Rhinolophus ferrumequinum: one gene and its partners. The protein of the gene in region 2 purifies or fractionates together with the protein of the main gene of each other region. This does not show direct contact. Links are inferred from orthologs where the notes say so. Each region holds a gene or a part of one and is shown on either strand. Other genes may lie near its edges. The genes, in order: NHERF2, ARHGEF6 and GIT1.

What was found.
Region 1: the proteins of ARHGEF6 (region 2) and NHERF2 purify together in Homo sapiens (affinity purification with mass spectrometry; 3 studies listed by BioGRID and IntAct, with this or other methods). This does not show direct contact. The link is inferred for Rhinolophus ferrumequinum from reciprocal best matches to the Homo sapiens genes ARHGEF6 and NHERF2.
Region 3: the proteins of ARHGEF6 (region 2) and GIT1 purify together in Homo sapiens (affinity purification with mass spectrometry; 3 studies listed by BioGRID and IntAct, counting the BioPlex papers as one, with this or other methods). This does not show direct contact. The link is inferred for Rhinolophus ferrumequinum from reciprocal best matches to the Homo sapiens genes ARHGEF6 and GIT1.

What each region holds. Positions count from the first base shown.
Region 1 is NW_022680357.1:3,770,213-3,777,450, reverse strand, and holds the start of NHERF2 (Na(+)/H(+) exchange regulatory cofactor NHE-RF2), read right to left. Parts: upstream 3,072-7,238; 5' UTR 2,937-3,071; coding exon 2,724-2,936; intron 176-2,723; coding exon 1-175.
Region 2 is NC_046284.1:19,496,599-19,503,587, reverse strand, and holds the start of ARHGEF6 (rho guanine nucleotide exchange factor 6), read right to left. Parts: upstream 3,088-6,989; 5' UTR 3,063-3,087; coding exon 2,898-3,062; intron 1,683-2,897; coding exon 1,599-1,682; intron 1-1,598. UniProt on the Homo sapiens protein: Acts as a RAC1 guanine nucleotide exchange factor (GEF).
Region 3 is NC_046304.1:18,058,550-18,065,795, forward strand, and holds the start of GIT1 (ARF GTPase-activating protein GIT1), read left to right. Parts: upstream 1-4,209; 5' UTR 4,210-4,482; coding exon 4,483-4,534; intron 4,535-7,246. Other genes in the region: ANKRD13B (ankyrin repeat domain-containing protein 13B), read right to left, coding at 125-238. UniProt on the Homo sapiens protein: GTPase-activating protein for ADP ribosylation factor family members, including ARF1.

The DNA of each region.
Region 1 (7,238 bases), on a different chromosome or scaffold from region 2:
TACCTGCATGTGTCCAGTCCGGCTTAGGCTCCCAGGGGTCGTGGGCAGGTGGAAGCCCGCGCTGGGCCATCTCCTGGGTGCAGGTCAGCCGCCGCCGCCGCAGTTCCTCATCCGTCTCCTTATCCACCACCAGCAGCTGAGTCTGCCCTTCCACAGCCTTGATCCTCTGCACCACCTGGGACGGGCAGGTGGCGGTGGGTCAGCGGCCAGCTCTCTGGGCAGCACATGGACAATGGCACCACCCAAAGCTGGCAGGGCTCGTGGGCAGGCAGCTGGCCTATCAAGGGGGGGTCGCTGGGCTGAGAGGCCCGCCAGCTCCGCCCCCCACCCCCGGGCTCCAGCCGCTCAGTCGCTCCTCTCCCGGGGCTCCAGACACTAGGGCTCAGGCTGTAAGGGCTGCAGGTTGGTCCCAGGGCCTCAGCCCAGCATCTTTTCCAGGAGGGGCAGGGAAGTTGGGTGAGGCAACCAGTGTGGAAGTGACAACGATGGCACATGGCTGAGCTTCAGGTTTCGGTGTGTCAGTGTGTATGCGTGTGTGCATGTGTATGTTTGCATGTGTGCAGGCATGCATCCACCTATTTCAGGGTCTTAGTCGATTGGAGGGAGAGAGGCGTCTCCCTGGGTGTCACGACCTGGGTGGGTCGGTGCCCATTTGTGTCCTTCTCAATGGTGGAGCATGGACATCTACACCCCTGACTCTAAGCCCCCTATTTGATCCGGACCATGGACCCACTCTGGCTGGACCTGCAGAGAGGGGAAGCCCTGGGTTCCTGTGGCAAGGCACCTACTCAGGCATCACACAGCACCCCATAAACAGGATTCACACCAAGCAGGTGGAGGTGGGGAGGGGCAGGTCCACCTGTGGGACAAGTGTGGCATGTGGCCATCTGTGTGTCTATGCAGGTGCCTATGACGTATCTAAAACATGTGGGTGACCATGGGGCATGCATGCCACGGTGCCCTGCAGGGAAAAGGAGAAAGTGCCCACCGGGCCTTGGGGTAGGAAGGGTAACACACTCACACCCACCCCAAGGCCTTGGGGAGGGTAGATGGAGTCCCCATCTGCTGCTTGGCAGAACTTGTCAACAGAGAGGAGGGTCTGAATCAGGCCCATCTTCCCGCAGCCCTGCTTTGTCCCTCCTCTCCCTGTGACTCTGAGAGTCGCAGCAGGGCCCCAGCAGCCTGCTCCTTCCTGACTGTGGGACCCAGACCAGTCACCTAACATCTCTAAGCATCGGTTTTTTTCATCTGTTAAGATGGGAGCTATAACTGCACACCCTCCCTCCTGGGGCAGTGGGAGGGTCCCACAGGCTCCTGTGTGTGAAGTTCTTAGACCAGCACCCGGAAGCCTGGGACAAGTAGGGGCAAGGGTGGCAATGAGTGTTAAACAGAGGACAGGTACCAGCTCTGCCAGCCCCTCCCTGTGACCTGTCAAGCCAAGCCCTCTGGCCCTGACCCCCACCCTCCTTCAGCAAACAGCTTTATCAGGTTGACATTCTGGGTGGGAGACAGAGGACAGCAGACAGATACAGAGATAGACAAGGGCCCAGGGTGAGAGCAGGAGGTCAGCTCCTGGCCCAGCCAAAAACCACTACACTAATCTCTAGGCCCCAAGAGCTGGCCACACCAACATATCATGGATGCAGAGGCACTGGGGGGACACAGAGGACCCTAAGCAGAGGAGTGGAGGAAGGCTAGACCCAACTCAGGTGAGTCTCCAGCCAGTGGGAGATGGACACCCCTAGGGGTCAGAACCTGTAGAGAGGAGACTCTGCCCTCCCTCTGGCCCTCATCTTCAGCTGTAGGAGGCTGGGGGCTGCGGCTGGTGGTGCCTGCAAGGCCAGCAGCCTCCGAGGAGAGACATGCGCTGCCCCCAGCAGTGACCCTGGCACCATCAGCCAGGGCACACACCAGAGTACTGGCTGCCAAAAACGCACTGATGACTCCACACATCCAGGTGCGCAGACATAAATATTTTCACACATACAACTCAGCTCATACACACTCATCCAGCACGCATGCGCTCATGCACACACACACAGCCCAGCTCATATACACATGTCCAGGTGTGCAGATCTGTCCACACACACAAACCCAGGGTGCAGACGTGTATATTCACACGCACACAGTCCAGCACACACACTCCCTGATGCAGGAACACACAGGTGTGCCCCTACTGTGACACCCTCCAGGCACACACAGGCAGATGTGTGCACACATGGGTGATCCCCAGAGGGACCTGCACACTCACACATATACCCAGTTTTGTACACACCCGCGTGTGTACACACATAGAAAAGCACCCAGGGTCTTCCCTTGCATGGAGAGCCCCCCGCCAAGGTGTCCCACACCTCCACACTTAGCACACTGAGGCCAGAACAAGCCTAAAGTGCGAGAGCCTGAGCCAAGCTAAGGAGCCGCAGTGCGGGCCCCTCCCTTCCAGGATCTCCCCCTCCGCGGTGCAGGACCGAGCTTCCTGAGGAGTGGGGGAGGCTAGGGAAAAGGCTGGCGGCCCCTGCCTCCGTGGCCATGTCCCCCACCACCCGGAGGGAGAGGCACGCAGGCCCTGGTGCGACCCCCCTCCTGGCCTCCAACAGGGAGCTGAGGCCTGGGCTCGGGCAGCGCCGGACGGGGTGGTCGTTGGCGCCACCCCGCGCGCGCGGGACAGGGTCGCGCTCCCGGGGAGGGCGTCCGGCGGGCCCCAGCGGGGCGCAGGCACCCACCTGGTGGTGCGTCTCGCCCTCCACGTTGACGCCGTTGACCTCGACCAGGCGGTCTCCGGCGCGCAGCGCGGCCGCCTCGGCTGGGGAGCCCGGCTCCACGCGCCGGATGAACTGCCCGCGGCGGCCCTTCTCGCCGTGCAGGTGGAAGCCGTAGCCCTGCTCGCCGCGCACCAGGTGGCACAGGCGCGGCCGCAGCGGCTCTGGCGCGGCCATGGCGCCGGCTGCCCACCCGCCGACCACGGACCGGCCACGGCGCTGACGGCCGTCCGGGGCAGGCAGGAGCGCTGGGCGGCGCGGAGGAGGCTGCGGAGGCGCTGGGGACCCGGCGGCGTCCTCGGTGGCTCCGGCTCGGCTCCCGTCGCCTCGGGCTCGGACCGGAGCTCCGGCTGCGGCACCGCCCCCGCGCCGCCCCTTCCCCGCCCCCTCAGTGCCCCGCCGCCCCCGCCTTGAGTCCAAGCCATCCTGGCCTTCCCCTGTCCCGGCGCCCTGCAAGCCCAAAGGGAGTCGGGGGAAGACTGTAGGGACAGGGTACCCCGAATCACCGGAACCTCTCTGTCTCGCCCTCACTCTCGGCAGCCTCCTTGGCTCCAGCGCTTTTGCCTTCTATTCCAGGAACATTTATTAACCACCTACTGCATGCAGGGCTCTACACTTATAAAGTGGGAGAGGGATGGAGAAAGTGTTATAGAGCCTAAGGACCCCCGCACACACACTGGAGACAGCGGGTAACAAGGAGGGCCACAGCTCTCCCCATCCTCCTTGGGAAGCTACATTGCCACCACCACCACCACCACCACCACCACCACCACCACCACCACCACCACCACCACCACCACCGTCTATATATATGGATCCTTCCTGCACTCATTGATGCCCTGGCCCAGGGTGGACCCAGAGGCAAAAAGAGAGGTTTGCAAGTGACATGGCAGCAGCCCCTACTTATGTACTGGAGGTCAGTGACTGGGTGACTCCCTGGCCCTCCCCAGGCGTGTTTGTGCTGATCTGTGCTGTGCGTGTCCATCATTCCCTCCCTATGCCAAGGGCCCCCACTTATGACCCTGCTCATCCTAGGCCTGGTAGGTGACAGAAAGGGTGGGGGAAGGAAATGCTCGTCTGGCTGGGACAAGAGGGTCTTTGCTACCCCACTCCTGACCTGGGATGAAATGTGCTGAGGACTTTGGCCTCTGAGCTCGGGCCTGTGGTCAGCACTCACAGGAGGTGTTTCCTTGAGCAGAAACCTGTTGGATCCTCCACACAGAGCCCTCCCCTCCCTTCTTCCTCCCCACCTCTTAGCCTCTACCTCCCTCCCTTAACCTCTACCCCCTCCCAGGATGAGTGCCCTCTTCCCACAACTGGACAATAATCACAATGAAGAATCATTTATGCTTTGTCTTGCCTCTGAGAGCATTTTACCTGGAACAACCCTAGGGGCCTCAGGCCATTTTACAGATCAAAAGACCAAGGTTTGGAGAGGGAAGAGACCAAGGTGAGGCTCCCACCCTGGGCTCCTCTAGGGCCCAGGGCTGAGATTCTAAGTCCACAGTCCTCGCAGCCTCAGATACAGAAGACAACTGGCCCAGGCTTCCCCTCAATCTGCCCCTCCCCAGCCCTGCCCTGCCCCCTGCACATACCTGGTGCCTGGGGGTCAGGCACAGCCAGCCCAGACAGTTCCCCATGAGGGCAGAAGTAGGTTCAGATCCGGCCCAGTCCTTGCTGCTACTTCTCCCCTCTCCAGTGCCCTCAGGCTGGGCTCCCAACCCCCGCCCAAGCACAAGGCCCGCCTCTGGGCAGCCTCCTGGGCCCCAGCCCCTTGGGTATCCACACCCCAACTGCTGCCCCTAAAAGCCACTTAGGCCAAAGCTGCATGGCTGTTCCCCCACCCCCACCTCTGAGTTCCTGACTGATGCTGCCATAGACGCCCATATGGCTGGCCACCTCCATCTGTCTGCCTGTCCAGAAGCTGCCTGTCTGGCCTGCGACTGGCCTCCCCTGGCCCAGCCTGGTGCTTCTGCCCCAGGAGGCTGGGAGGATGGGTGTGGGCTGGGAGGTCCACCATATACCACCCCAAGGGATTACCCTATAGCAACCAGGACCACCCAGGACCTGCCAAACTGTAGCTTTGGGGCCACACCAGAGTTGAGGTAGCTGGCTGGATGGGAAATCACCAGAGAAGGTAGAGGCCCCTAGTTCCCTGGGTCAGAAGGCTTGGAGACCATCTCCCCCATCCATAGGAGAACCACTAATCAGTCTTGGGCCCTTTCGCCTTCCACAGCCCAGGACTCAGCCTGTGAGTGAAGATGGATGGGAACAGAACACAGCTGGAGGGAGGGGTAATGGCATGTGGTCACAGCCAGGGGCCAGGAAGAACATTGCATCCCACAATAACAAAGGAGGCCCCAAAGCCTGGAAAGTACCCAGGAAGATAACAGTAACAAAGGAGGTGGGTAACAGCAACAGAATAACCACCCAGGTTATTCTGGGTGGTAAAAGAACTGCTGGTAAAAATTACAAAGGGGGAGCAGGAATGAGTAAGAGAGAGCAGAGTCAGTTTCAAGGACCTGGAGTAACAGCCATGAGGAAGCTCTCAGGTAAACTCTCCCCTGCCATTCCCTCCAGCCTCGGGCTTCAGAGAAAGAGGCTAAGGCAGAGGCCCAGAGTGTGGGCTAAAAGGTGTCCAAGGGCTGTGAACTGTTTGGGGTCCCTGGGGAAGGGGTAGGGGAAGTGAGCCTTGAGGCCAGCAGGATGTCAGATCAGAGGTGGTCTGGGTGATAACCCACCCCCCACTCCCTCACCCACTCCTGCCATCTTGCTATGCAGACTTTGTGAGTGCTCTAGGCCCCTGATGGTCCTCCTGGGGTAAGGAGGGGACTTTCCTCTGAGTTTTGAGCCCAGCTCGCTGCTACAAGGCCCCCAGCGAAGGGCGGAGCCTGAGCCTGGGAGGGGACTTGGGGTGTGGCAGTGGGCAGAGGCTTGGTCACAGTCAGAGGAAGGGCTCCGGCCTGTCTGGGGGGTGGAGCCATTAGTCTGACGCCCCGCTAATGGCCCAGAGCTTCTTCGGCTGGCACCGCCTCCCTAATGGGCATTAATGGCCCCGCGGGATGACCAGGCCCCGTTTAGGGCCTCCTCTCTCAGACACCAGGCCTTACTTCCGAGCCCGAAATTGGAGCAGGCAGGACGAGGGCGACGGGAAGAGATGAGAACGAGACCCGGAGATGAGAGTGAGAGAGAAGGGGAGAACCGACAGGACCAAAAAGGGAAGACGCGCAGGAAACTAGCCCAAGACGCCCGGGGCGACTTGCCCCGCCCACTCCCCTCTGGCCCTGCCCACGAGCCACCCAACCCCTCCCATCGCGAGAGGCGCGGAGCGGGGCTCTAACCCAGAAGTGCGGCCGCGCAGCGCCCCTTGCGGGCTCTGGCTGAGATTGCATAGTCCGAGGGGTTGCCCTAGACCCCGCCCCTGCGGCTCTAACTGGGTCCTGCCCTGCCAGGTGGGGATTGGGATGCGGCTGGCGTCCTAGGGCTGCTTGCCCCACAGAGACATAGGGGGGCCATGAGGGTGGTAGGCGGAGAAGCCGAGCCTCTGCATAGCCCCTAATCAGCTATGCTCCCTCATCTTGGACCTAGCACCAATCTCTCTGAACCGGGGTACCTCCAGGCAACATGAAATCGGGCGCCTCACCAAGTGTTCCAGCACTTGGGGACAAATATTTGTGGACCACTTGGCGCCAAGCGCTGGTGAGCACTAGAGAAACATCTCGACCCATAGAAACAGGGATTTGTGTACCTTGGCAAGGGGAGGAGGCCCAGGGTTGGGGCAGCCCCAAGGAGGGGCAGTTAACCCTGCCTGGAACCTTGGAGTCCTTCAGGGTGGACCATAGAGTTGTTCTGGAATGCAGAGTGTCTGCAGGCTATGTGGGGTGGGGAGGGCGCAATGAGAGTGGGGCATAGGTCCAGCCCTGTGACCCAGACCCAGAGCACAGATTTAGTTCCACCAACAGTGGGAAGCCCTTTTTAGTGTGCACTGGGGGTGATAAGGTGTTTGTTTGTTTGTTTTAAACTTTTATTTATTTTAAGCGTGTTTTTCCAGGACCCATCAGCTCCAAATCAAGTAGTTGTTTCAATCTAGTTGTGGGGGTGCAGCTCACAGTGGCCCATGTGGGGATCGAACCAGCAACCTTGTTAACAGAACCGCATTCTAGCCAACTGAGCTAACTGGCCACCCCCAGGACACCCATGTTTTGAAAGGCCAAACTCGGGGAGTAGCAGGGGCAGCAGTGGGCTCAGAGGGGGAGAATGAGTTTCACCTGAGGAGTCTGGGACTCTCTCTTGCCCCAGTTCAGATCCTGGGGGAAAAAACTGGGTGGAATCAGGGTAAATAAATTCAAGGTAAGAATTGGGAGAATGAAGTAAAGAAAGAGCATCCACATTAGGGAACCGCTGTGGGAGAAGGATGCGCCCAGGAGATGAGATAGAATTGCCAGTAAGGAGAGATGAGGGCTTCCAGAGGCCAAAGGG
Region 2 (6,989 bases):
GACTCTAGAAAAGTTACTTGGCCTCTCTATGCTCCAGTGTCCTCATCTGTATAATGGAGACATTAATAATATCTTTTGCATAGGATGGTTTTAAGGATCAAATGAGAAAATGCATCTAAGGCATTTAAGATATCAATGCACATAAGACATGCATAACAGTTGCTTAATGTTACTGTTATTACTAGGCTGTATTGTATATAAAATTACGCCTGTAAGGGGTATATGGGACCCATACTGAGGCACTCCTAGGACTCGGAGGGAAATCTAATAAAATCAGTACATAAGGAATGAAACTAGAAACTGAGCTGGGGTGCACCCAGCAGCCAAAAATACTGACCACCCAGTCTCAAGCTCCCAGATAACTAAGAGATGGATCTAAACATAAATATTGGCAAATTTTTAAGAATTGTTTTTAACTGAATATATTTGACACATAACATTGTGTAAACTTAAGGTCCACAGTACGGGAACTAAATATTCTGGCACAAGCATAGTCTGATGCTGTGGCTAACTTTAGGAAAAATTCTGAAGCCAGCAAAGTTTCTGTGGGGCAAAGCTACCTGTACTAGTATTAATAATAATAGCTAACACTTGGGGAATACTAACTACATGACAGGCACTCTTCCGTGGACATGAATTCATTGATATTTCACACCAATCCTATGAGATAGGTACTGCTATTATTCCCACTTTACAGGTGGGGAGACCGAGGCATAGAGTCATCATTAAGTAACACACCCGAGGTTACAAAACTACTAGTGGGAGAACTGAGATTTGAACCCAAGCAGTCTATTGTCAGAGTCCATGTTCAAACCACTACTAATATTTCTCCAAAAATAATACCACTAATGCATGCCCACACTTCTTATGTCCCTGGTCCTGTGCTGAGCACTCTACATACATTATCTCATAGATCTTTTGGAGTTGGAGCTCTTAACTCTACATTATTATGCAGCATCTCATTTGATCCTTAAAGCAACCCCATGAGGTACTGATTATCGTGTCCATTTTACAGATAAAAACACTGTGGTACAGTGAAGTTAAGTTACTTGGCACACAGGTGAGAGTACTACCTGCCTTTCAGTAACACCCCCAATATGTATCATAAGGATCCATATAATGTTAAATAATGCAATGTAATTTAGTATACAATTTCTAACTCAGGGCCGGATCCTCTTAGCTTTTCAAGGCCTCTGTTCTAAAGTGTTAATGGGAAAAAGTAACGATACTCTTTCCAACTCAGGAGTAATGCAGTGACCCTCTGCAGCAGCCAGCAGCTCATGTTTGGTTCCCCTTAGTAGGGAAGCACACCACACAAGCTCTGTCACTGGAAGCCTGCTTTTGGGACTGGATGTGTATCTGAAAGGTATCATATTTTGAGTTTTGTTTTGTTTTGTTTTGTTTTGTTTTGAAACTGGTTTCTAGAAAAGCCAAACTAGCAAGCGACCACTGTAGACCACCAATCTCAACCATGGTTTTCCCTAAAATGCTTCCTCTGTTTAACAGTGAAAATAAACCAAGGACTTACACTACAGCACTGCCTTCACTAGCAGAGTGAAAAACGATGACAAGAAGGAAGACAACCTGGGTGGGCTTACCTCCACTTGAAGGGCTGCACATCCTTTCAGGAAGTCATTGATGTTGTTGATGCAGTCGGCTTCTGTTTGGGGCTCCAGACAGTACTAGAGAAAAATAGTCAAATGTCACTTGGAGACTGTCATCCCATGCCAAGCATACCATATTCACCATTCTCTAATAACTACATAGGTAGGCTTTTTAAGGCAGGGAGCAGCGTTGCTGTCAATCCAGGAAGAGAAATAACCACCAAAGGAAGTGATGCAAAAATCTAAACGGTTGGTTTTTGTTTCAAATGTCATCAAATCTTTAGTCTCAAGCCATCTCTATGAATTTTTTCTCATGCTCTTTTGTCTGAGTGCTGATAGCAAATTAGAGAAACCCAGACAGTATTTTGAGCTTGGTTTTGCTTTCTGCACACTACCTTGCTCCCGTCTCTTCATAATAATTTATTCAAAGTATATTTTCCCTTTTTTTGTTCTCTACATTTGATCACAATTCTCTACCTTTTACCACCATTTTCTCACTGCTTTTCAAGTTTAAGGAATTATAAGTAAATCAATTTGTTCAATAAAAATAAACTACTTCAAGAAGGCAAAAGAACTACACTCACAGTCACATTCCCTGATGACCTTAAGAAAATAATTGTAGAACTATACCTTTAAACTGACTTAAAGTGCCTAGTTTGGAAATTATCCATCCTTGTAATTATGGGTTTCCAACATTAAAAATTTTGGATTTTTAAAAGAGAACAAGGGTAGTTTCACTTTGAACACATGTTGCATTCAAATCATATATTCAGTTTCTATTTTTTTAAAAACCTTATGTAACATTTGGAATTATTTATCCTAGTTGCTAAATAGCCTCTCTTTCTATAGATATTTTATTTCTTTGAGAAGAAAATCTACATTGATTTTAGTCAAACTATCAATAAACACCATCAACATCTGTTATAAATCATCCCATTATTCCACAGACTCATATGTACCCCAAGTTCAAAACATGTCCTCGGTACACAGGGAAGTGTAACATGCATCTCTATGACAGAGCAAGCTTATAATATGGGTGTTCTCCTTGTCCGCTGGTACCAGTGGTGTAACAGGTTATTATACTAAAATTTGGTGGCTAATTACTAAATGATAACATTTCATTTTCTGACTTTTTCACACTACAAAAGCAGCAAGAAAGATTGTCTAACTCTTAGAAAGATATTAAAGTAATAGAGTCCCAAGACCTGGGCAATCGAAAATTTCACGAGTTACATTATTGCTGCTCTCTGGTGGTAAGCACTCCCACAGATACTACAAATGTGATGTCCTTACCTTTTCTACAGAGCCAGGCCGCAGTCTGTTGATCAGTTTGCACAGCACTACCCCATTTTTCAGCGAGGACTTCAAAAACTCCTCCGGATCACAGATGGTCTTTTTTGGGGAATCTAAAACTCCCAAGGATATAAGCCATGTCACGATTCGCTCTTCTGGATTCATTACTGAGGACTGTACCCTCCGAACAGCTTTCTGGGGCAGCTGCAAGGACTTAGCCACATCCGCGATTGCATCTGCTGTTGTCTTCCTTTTTATGAGTTCTCTTCTGGTGCTTGCAGAGCAAAGCTTTAAAACAACTTTTCTTAGACAACGGTGGAACCCACTCAAATTATGGGATTTCAAAACCACAAAGATCACACTCAGAGATGTGCAAAGAGAATGAATATAAAATTCCTGGAAAACACTGATTTTCTTTTTCAAAACCTGCAAAACAAATTCGTTAGGATTGAAAAAAAAGAAGAAGAAACATACACACACACACACCAAAAAAAAAAAAAAAAAAGCGGTGCAAGAAGCTCTTAGGGAAGGAAGTGAGGAGGATGCTGGGGAGGGAGGAGAAAGAAGGAAATAAGAGCTCTTGGAAAACAGAGGTGAGCCAGCACTTCAGGGGACCTTGGAAATGAGACACTCTTGGGCCAGTCTGGGAAAACGCTGTCAATAAATAGTCTAGCCCCAGTGAAAATCTGGCTTCTGTCAGGAGGAAGATGCCAACTGGCTCTTAGGTCAGACAGATCTGAGCCTTGTGGGGAGCTGTGCTGGCTGGCACAACAGGGCTCAAAGAAGGTAGGCTGAGAAAAGTCTTCCACAAAATGGCCAGATGTCCTCATACTCTCACAGAGATGGTATGTCATGACCATTCCTTGCAAAACATGTTGAGTTGCATGGTGACACCATGCCAAGCAAATAAAGATTGTACCTGCTGTCGGCCATCACTGTATATAAGCAGAAGCTAGAAGAATGGCATTTTACTTTGCAGCCAAAAAGCTATGTTTAGGGAAATAGGCTAAGGATAACATCTGACATCCTGTTTACTTGCATTCTTTAGCAATTCTTTTTCTGGACCTGGTTCCACTACATAACCCAGCTGCAGTACCCTTAGCAAAGGCTCAGACACAGTCACATAAGTGGGTAAAAAACACTTGAAAACAGAACTTTTGAGAACAAAAGAGCACCTGTCCTCTGTCTATACTATAGTCTGGAAGGTTGATTGATGTTTCCCCAACAATAAACATTTTGCATTAAAAATACTGCTCTGAAAAAAAAACAAGAGATCTGCACTATTCTCGAACATTTTCAGAACCAGCTGAAAGTTACACCATTAGGAAATTTCTGATAAGGCCACCTTTAATAGTATAGCCTTATATTGGCAAATGCATGGTACTCACCATCACTACCCCTCCTCATGCATGGGATCCTCCTAAGCGTCACAGTCCTTTTCAACACAGCTTTAGGCATCTACTACCAAATAATCAATTTAGATAATCCTGCTAAATATTTTCAAAGCTTCCCCTTCCTGCCCTGTCATAACACTTATCACATTTTACTATTATTACTTGTTGATCTGTCTCCTCCACCAGAAAGTAACCTCCCCAGGGTAGGAGTCTTATCTGTCTTGTTTAACATTGTTCCCAGCAGAGTGCCTGGTACACAGTAGATGTTCAAAAATGCTGAATGAATGAATGAATGAACTCGTATTGTCTTCTGGGTATAAACATTACCTGATTACAACAAAGATGTTTTTATTTGTTTTAATGTCTTAAAACAAACATTTTTTTCCTTGCTAATGATTTGTGTACTGTTATTGAGACATAATTGACATAATAAACTACACATATTTAATATGTATTATGTAATGAATTTTGATGTATACACCTGAGATACAATCACACATCATACACACAATCCAGATAAACCTTTCCATCACTGCCCAAAGTGTCCTTGTGACCTTTTAAACCCTTCCCTCCCTTCCCCCCAAATCCCAAGAAACCACCAATCTGCTTTCAGTCCCTATAGATTAGTTTGCATTTTCTAGGATCTTATATGAATGGAAGTGCACAGTTTGGTACATTTTTTGTCTGGATTCTTTCAATCAACATCATCATTTTGAGATTCATTTATGTTGTTGCACATATCAATAGTTCTATAACAAAGATTTGACCTCCAAATATTTGGTTTGATGTATTCATACTTATAAGCAAAATAGGTATAATCAATCAAAAGTTTTAATTGACTTTTGACCTATGGCCAACTCTATGTAATGGAAATAAAAACAAAATCCATTTGTTGATAAATGAAATTCCCAAATCTAATCTGTTTAAACACATTTTATATGTCATTTGCACAGTTTTCACAATTACTCATCAAAATTGTACTCTACAGACAAATAAATCAGGCAGTATTATTGACATATCACTTACATTTTCTGATGAAGACCAAAGAGTCAGTAATTTCAGGAATCCATCCTAGTCCAAAATACGCTTGAGCCCACGAAGGTCACCTGGATGAAAATCTGCCTCATTTTGGACCCTGACTACAGCAAATTACTCTAAGTAATAAAGTAAAATCAGAAAGGCAAGGCCACCTCCTCAAGGCAGAAGCAACAATTCTATGAGTAGAAAGACTGGAAGATGTTGGTATGGTCAAATGTCAAGAAAGCAAGGAATTCTGAGACAGTAGCAAGCATATGGGCGAAATGACTAATCATGAAACCCTGGCTGGGTAAGGAAGCCAGTGATGATAGAAAGGAGCTGATGAACTGGGGAAATAAGGGTGGGGAATATAAAGACTGGAGGTCACAGTCGCACAAAGAGCAGTCTTCACACAAAAGCATGAGTAAAAAGAGCAAAGGTCTCTCACTCTACTTAAGATCGTTAGTACCATATACCCTGAGCCACTGAACGTGTGTCTTCACTGGCTTTCCTACCTCCGTTTTCTCTCCTAATGAACTCTGGCAGAGCACAGCTTGGTTGATTTTCCAAAAACACCTCTTTAACAGTGTAATACCTCTGCTCAATAACCCTCAAAGGCCTAAAGCAATGATTTACAAACAACGATGTACAAAAATAATCACCTCTTGTGAGGGAAGGAGGAGAAAAGAATGAGAATTGAACTTGAGCCAAAATAGGCAACATTTTATTAAAAGTAAAAAGATCTGCAGGAAGTAAGGTAAATGTTAACATTTCTTAAAACTGGTTGCTGGGTACACTGGAACTTGTTTACTTTTATGTGTTTGAAATATTCATAATTGACTTTAAAATTTTTAAATCTGGTGCTGGTACACCAAGGTTGCTGGTTCAATCCCCACATGGGCCACTATGAGCTGCATCCTCCTTTAAAAGAAACTGAGGGTTGCTAGATGGGGGGGGGTGGGGGTAAGGGGGAAGGTGAGGGGATTAGAATACGGTCAGTAATCACAAGATGGCCACGGGGTTTTGAAAATTAATCTGGGGAACGTAATCAATAATGTTGTAAAGATTTTGTAGGGTATCCGATGGACACGTGTCCCATTTGGGAGACCATCTCAGGGAAGATGTAGATGCCTGATCACTGCACTGTACACCTGAAGCTGAATAATAATGCCAACTATAATTTTATAGATATATATATGTATATATATGTATGTATATACTTACAAGAAGCGGAGTACAGCATTGGGAGTGGAGACAGTGGAAATGGGATGACTCAGTGCGATGTCAGAGAGATAGTGGATGGGGGCAGGGGGGCCCACAATGTGAGGGATATAAATGATAAACGTCTAAGTATTACTTTGTCTTGTGCACCTGAAACTAATAAAAATAAAATAAAATAAAATGTTTAAATGAAAAAAAAAAACAGAAACAAAAGAAAAAAATTTAAATCTACTGAGGCACTTGTTAAAATGATTTGGGAGCCCTATTCACCAATACCTTAGTTCAGAAGATCCACAATGGGACAAAGGAATCTGTATCACTAAAGTACCCAACCTGATTCTGATGCAGGTGGACCAAGGTCACACTTGGAGAAATAAATTGATTTATTTTCTGCCTTTCTTTCTGCCAACATCTGGGTCATCTCAATATCCACAGGAACACAATCCAACATTAGAACCAC
Region 3 (7,246 bases), on a different chromosome or scaffold from region 2:
GGTTCGAACAAAGAAGCGCTGCAAACTCGCCGGGGAGGCGGGACAGCCCGCGCCGCGCCCTCTCCCCACGCTGGGCGGGCGTGCCCGGCCGTGGGGTCCCCGCGGCGCCGGACGGCGCTCTTACCTGGCCGGCGCGGACCTCTTTCTCCAGCTCGCGGTGGCGGTTGTGCCACACGAGGTAGTGCAGCGGGTACTTGCCCTCGGGCCCCTTCTTGACGGAGGCGTTAGCGGGTATCATCGCCCGCTCCTCATGCCGGGGCCACGGCGCCCGGCCCGGGAGGAGGCAAGGCGCCGAAGACGGGGCCCGGGGCCGCGGGGTGGGGGGCCGGCGCTGCCTGCTCGCAGGGTTGCGGCTCAGGCATGTGCGAGCGGCGCCGGCGGGCGGGGGCGGCGTGCCCGGCGCGGTGCGGGTGGCCGGCGTCCTCGCGAGGCGGCGGCGGCGACGGCGGGCGGCGTGGAGAGGCCCCCACCCGCCCCGGGAGGGAGCGGGCACTCGGCGACGCGGCTCCTACTCGCTCCTCGCCTCTCACACCCCCGCACACAAAGACGCGGCTCCACAGAGGGAGCAGGCTCCCGCAGCGGGCGCGGGGGCGCACGGGGTGCGGGCCCCGGGGACGCGGCCGCCGCCGCAGGGACGCGCGCCCGCAGCCCCCGGCTCCTCGCAGCCGCATAGCCCGGCCCTCAGCCCGAGCGGCCGGCCAGGGATGCGGGGGTGCAGGGGAGAGAGGAAGGGGACCCGGGTGCCCCGGGCAGAGCTTGTTATAGCTCGGCCCCGCGGCATCATGGGGCTTGTAGTCCACCTCGTAGAACTGGGGGTGGCGAGTGGCCGGAAAGGGTCCCGCACTGTCCCCCTCATCCCATGAAAGCGTGGGGAGGGAATCAGGCATGGCCGAAACGGAGGCAGCGTCCTAATGCCAGGTGGGCTGGGGCGCAACCCCACCGCTGGCATTTTGCCTTTTGCCTGTTCATGGAGTGGGAGGGGACTACAGGCCTCGCCTCAGCATTGGGGGGCGCGGAAAGGTGTGGCCTTCGAGATCGAGTTTGGGTCCCAGTGGATCGTGAGGGATCTAGATTCCCCCCAAAAAAGAGAATTATGTGGGACTCCTGAGAAAGGTGAGGGAGATTAGTACCAGGGGTTATTGGAGCAATCAGGGGTCTGGCACCTGAATAATTATATAGGAGTCTTCCGTGCCCTCTTATAAAATTAAACTCCATTTCCCACACTTGACATTGGAAAGAGAATGTCCACTAAGTCTGGGAGGACAGTGCCCCTGCTCCATACACTGTCCTCTGCATGGACCAGAGTGGGGTTGGGCAGAGAAAGCAGCAGGTGGCAGCTCCCCATCTCCACCTTGTGTGATCCCCTCAAGAGAGGAAGTGACTGATTCCAGAGACCGACTGCTTCCTGGATAACCCCAGGGTAGAGAGGTCCTTCCAGAAGGGTCCCTGAAGACTCTCTGGTAAAAGTGGATGTTATCTCTGCGGACGCCTATTGCAAGGGCCGCCCTATTGCGAGGGTGGGAAGGACCTAGAGGCTTGGCCCAATCCCTGGAGGGAGGAGGGGCTGAGATGTTAGAGAGACCTGCGTTCGAATTCTTTCTTACTAATTGCCTGACCTTAAGCAAACTGCTTCTATTTTCTGGTTTCTCAGACCACTCACCTCTAAAATGAGACTTCCTCCTGGGGTGAGTTAAGGATAGTAACTGCCCTGGAAACTGCGCATCCCTCCCCTAACCAGGCGGACTGACAGGTGTTGGGGACCAGGCATACAAACGTAGTGCCTTCTCGAGCCCATCTTAGAACAAGACAGGAATAAGGAATTCCACACCAGCCCTACTTAGAACAATCTAAGAAGTGTTTGTGTGGGAGGTGCTAGCAAAAGCTTGCAAACTCTCCGCGCCTTTCTCAGGTTCCTTTGTGTGGTCTTCTCTCCTTCCTCCTCCACACCCTGCAGTGCCAGGCCGGGGCGGGGAAGGATGAGGAAGGAGTGGACTGCCTCGCCCCTTTCCCCAGCCTGGGAGGAGCCAGCCGGCGTCTCTGGCAGCCGGGGACCGCTGCCCACCTCGACCACGAGGGGTCAGCAAAGTGTCGTGGCTGAAGCTGGAATTGGGGAGGGGGCTGGAGCTGGGGAGGGACGGCTAGGAGTGGCCGGTGGAATGCCTGTACATTTCCTTATTAAATTGTTTTTAGAACGTTGTGTGTGATTTCTCTTTAACTGTCCTGCTTCCTGAGGTGACGACATCTCCAAAGGGAAATCCTGAAACCCTTTTATCCCTAGCCCCAGGCCCAGAAGTTCGGCTGTGGCGGGGCGGGGGGTTTCCGGAACAAAGTTTGGAGAGTGGATCTGTGCCTGGGCCACTCCCAGGTAGTCCTGGGCCAACCAGATGGGTCCGGGACTATGTGGGACAGGGTGAATCATCCTTTTTCCCCTGAAGTTTTGGAGCTCAAGGAAGGAGGGAACTCAACCTGGATTGGGGGGCCTATCCCCTCCCCTGGGCAGCCGGCTCTCTTTTTGCCAGGCAGCCATACATACACTCTAAACCCAGGTCGCTTTTCCTCGGGCCTGCGCGCTCCAGCTGCCACGTGCTCTAGACGCGCCCACACAGCAGAGAAACAAAGACGGCCAAGCGATGGGGCTTCCAGCAGCCGCCTCGACATTTAATAAATGAACTTCCATAGCTGGGGGTCGATCGGGTAAACCGGCGTCCACCGCTGGTGGGCTGGGCGCCGGGTATGGGCGGCCAGGCCACTCCCCCCTTTGCCGAATCTGGGGCCACCAAGCCTATGGACTGACTCCTCCGTACGGGTGCAGCACTGGGAGGCAGGTGTTGCCCACCCCCACCCATACTCCGCGAGGTATCCTTGCTGGCAGAAGCCCTGCCAGCCAGCGGCTGGCTGTGGGGGGAGGGGAGGCATACAATATTTTTTTAAAGGTGTGATTATAAATATATCCCGTGGATCGCGATTTCAGACAAACTTGTCAATCTCGGCTGCAGCGAAAGGCGATGGAGGCAGCTTTGCATGTATTTTGGGTGATGTGACTCATGAGCATTACTTGTCTACCCCAGGGAAGCAGCCAGTACACCCACAAGTCACTGCTGCTCTGGCACCGCCGGGATGAAATCGACCAACTCCGGCACCCTTGCCCAAGGACTCCCCCCACCCCTCACCCCACTCCCACCCCGGTTACAGAGCAGGATTCCCTGCCGCTTGGGAACTCTCCCTTAATCGTGTCACCACTGATCTGGTCCCCAGGCCTGGCCCTGGGAACCCCTGCCCTCCCCCCTCCCCACAAGCAGAGTGCTCTGGCCTTTTGCTGCTGCAGGGATGGGGGCTGGGTGCACGCGGGGCACACGTGTATGGGGGAGCATGCTCAGTGCCGGGGTGCACCCACGTGCGGCATGCGCCTCTGCTCCCTGTCCCCCACCACCACCCCGCCGAGTCTCTGTGTGAAGTCCAGGAAGAAAGGCTGCTACAAGAAAAAGTCCCTGTATGTTACACACACATGCCATGGACACACACTCTGGTGGCCCAGAAACACTATACATGTATACAAGACGGATGACAAGTGGATATTACTGCACACAGGCACAGTGGTCACTCCTCCGGAGGTCTTTAAAAACCGCCCAGATTCTTTCCTCTCTGGATGGAAGCATTGAGAAAGGCCAGAGATACAGCGATACACTGCGTGACCTCTCTGGCACCTGGGCGACCATATTGTTGGCGGTGTGCATAGTCAGCAAGGGTGTGACCACACACACACCTGGACACGCAGATGTGGGCACATGCGAGACCAGGACGCACACCTTACCCCAACCAAAGATAAGCGGGTACCCCAAACCACAGCCCCTTGACGAGGAGGGGGGCCTGAAGTTCCAGCTCCTTCCTCTCTTCCCTGATTTCCAGGGGCCGCGGTCCCAGCGCCCGACCTCCCAGTCCACCCCCCATCTCGAAAGTGAAAGGGCTGTGAGGGAGACTCACACTACCTCCGGGGCAAAGGAGCGCCAGAGCTGGGGCCAGGGCCGCAGGCGACTCTGCCCGCTCCAACCCCGCGGCGGCCGCGGTCCCTTTAAGCGCTCCCGCCCCCTCCCGCCCGCGCTCCCGGCTTCCTTTCTCTGGGAGGCGCGGCCCGCAGGGCCGGTCGGCGGGGCGGGTGTGCGGCCTGCCCCTCCCCCGGTGGGCAGGGCCTGCGCCGTTTCCTGCAGGAGCGGCCGGGAGCCGCGCAAGGGGCGGAGAGAGCGAGAGGCGAGCGGCGGCGGGGCGGCGCGGGGCGGCGCGGGGCGGAGGGCGCCCGAGGGCGAGCGGGCAGGCGGGCACGGCGGGTTCCGGGCCAGCCCCGAGGGCTGTCGGTTGGCCGGGCGCGCGGAGCCTAGCCGGGGCCTTGCTGGAGCCGGGCCGGGCAACAGGGGCCGCCGCCGCCCGGGCCCGCCGCCCGCGCCCCCCACGCTGGCCCAGAGGGCTGCGGCCGCGTCGCCGCTGAGGATGTCCCGGAAGGGGCCGCGAGCGGAGGTGTGTGCCGACTGCAGCGCCCCGGGTAAGCAGGGCCTGGCCGGGGGCGGGACCGCGTACGGAGGCCGCCGCCCGGCGGGCGCCGGGGCCTGGCGGGAGCGCCGTGCGGGGCCGGAGGGCGGGGTGGGGCTGGGGGCTGCGGCCTCCCGCCTCCGGCCTCGGCCCCCTCCCGGGCCACTGCGGAGCCGCGTCCTTGGCAGGAGGGCCGGCCTGGGGGCCCCCTGTTCCCTTGCGTCCGCGGACAAGCGAGGAAGGACATTCCCGGCGCCGCCTCCCACCCCTCAGTCTGAGGGAGGCGGGCAGCTAGCTGCTCCCCCCCCATCTCGATATCCAAACGGAAGCGCCAGCCTGGGGTGGCAGGAGAGCTGTGGCGGAGGCCGGCAGGGTTTAGGAGGTGGGGGCGAGTGTGGTTTTGTGTCATCTCAGTGCCACCCCCGCGTCTTGCACCTGCTGCTCGCATGGTCTGCTGGCCCACTGGGGTGGCGGAGGGCAAGGGGCAGAGAGCTGGGCAGATGGGCGGGGGTGGGGGTGGGGGCTTGGATACTGTTTCCTAGCGAGCAGATGAGGGGGTGGCTACTCCTAGAACTCCCTGCCCCTGCCTCCCAAGGCTGGGGCTCCTTGCAGGGCCTGATGTTCAGGACCAGAATGAGCCTGGGCATCTTCCACCGAGGCATCCCCAGGTCACTGGGTGACTGGGAGCAACTAGACTTGGCTTTTCCTGTGCCCCAGGAAGGCCTGCTTGGGAAGGTGGCTTGGTATTGCCCCAGCTTGGGCACAGACCCATCCTGGTCCTCTAGCCCAGTCTGGCCAGAAATGGGTAGGAAGCAGTGCGGAAGGGTGCCTCCATCCCAGGATTCCGTTGGCTTCCTGGCCGTATTTACTGTGGTCTTTCCCTTCTCCCTCCCAGCAGAGTCAGGTCCAGGCTGATGTGAAACCCCCCTGACCTGCTGAGGAAGTGAGGAGCAGTGACCCGAGAGGCTGCTCCCTTCTGATGTGGGAGGACGCTGCCAGTGATGGGCCTCAGCAGCTGGCCTGGGGAAGGACGCCCTGGCCTTTGTCCATCCTCTCGTTAGAAAAGGAGCTGTCTGCCCGGGAGGCTTTTGGGCAGGCTCGGGGGGTCTGTGAACTCTCGGGGACTGTGGGCACACTAAGTGGGAGAGTGTGGGGTGCTATCTTATGGGCCCATAACTTCCAGCCACACTGTGGACAGGCCCAGGACCACAACAGGTTGAGATCCACAGATGCCCTGGTGGTTCTATGGCTCCAAGCTAGAGTAGGTAGGAACTGTGGGTACCTGGCAGAGGCAGAGTGCTCTGGGGGTGGTCGTGACCCCGGGACCTCCTCTCAGAGCGCGCCATGATCTAGAGAGCTCTGAGGAAGCTATCTGGGGGGTATGTGTCCTCACCCTTAATTAGCTGGAGACTATGATCCCCTTTGCCCCAAGCACAGGCAGGTCTGGGGATGGAGGGACTCAAAGGAAAGCTTGCCTTCTACATATGTGTCCCAGGCTATTCTACACCTCTGCTGGGTGGGTGTAGCATGGTGGGGTGGGCAACTGGGATGGGCAGGGGTACTCTGAGCAGACATCCTATCGGGAGCCTGGATTTTAGTGGTGCCTTTATTTCCTTCTTACTCTGTGACCCATGGCAAGACTTTCCTCACTCTTGGGCCTCAGTTTCCTCAACTGTGAAGCAAAGAAGTTGGAGTAGAAATGGTTTTTAAGGACCTTCCTAGCTCTAAATCTGTGGTCCTGATTCTGGGCTTGAGGGCCACAGGACAGCATCAACATGGCAATTGTCCTTTCTCCATGTCATTTGACTGGCTACAGCCCCTGGGCTCCGGGAGGAGTGGTGTGCATCTGATCTATTGGACTGCCCAGCTCTGTCCCAGTCCTTCCCACAGAGGCATTTGTGCCCTGCGTACCTCCTTTTCCCCTGATCCAGGATACAGGTCAGGAAGAGGCAGCTGGTGAGAAGGTGAGGATGGCGAGGTAGGCAGGGTGCTGACAAAGTCTTACTCATCGCCCCACTCCAGCACCTAGCATGGTGTCTGGTACAGAGCAGGCAGCTCCCAAGTGTTTGGATGCTTGTCAGGATCCCTGCTGGCTGCCTGGGGCTACCCCAACCCCCCCCCCCCCGCCCCCATATGATACGTGGAGTGAGTGGCGTTCTCAGTCTGGGAACTATAGCAGCCCCAGTAAAGAGCTGGAGGGGAACCGAGAATCTGGAGCCCAGACCCAGACCGCCTCCCGGGCGTGTGCCTCCCGCCCAGCATCCTAGGCTTCTCACTCCCTCTGGTAGGAACCCTGCAGCCCCAGCCCGAGGAATGGAGTTGTGGCTTTTTTGTAGTTGGTTCATTTGAGGGGTTATGGAGGTGAAAGGTGAGATGCAGCCTGACCCCAAAGGTCCCCATTCTCCCTCTGCTCCCAGGTCTGGGCACATGGGATAAGCGTATGTAGTGAGGGAGCTGGGCAGGGCTTGGCTGCTATGGCAGCTGGTGCCACCTCGGCAGGCACCATCTGTGTCCCTGCCTGCCTTGGGGGTTCAAGAGAAGGGGCAGGGGTCAGTAAACCTGGAGAATGTGTGGGGCCTCCTTCTTTGCCCTCCACTCACCCTGCCACACGGTCCTGGCCCAGCTCTCAAGGGCCCGCTCCTTACCCCTGGGCCGCCGTCTTAACCTTTCCACTTCGGCAGGCACAGGAGTGGAGACCAGTGGGCACCTTGGATGAGCAAGGCTG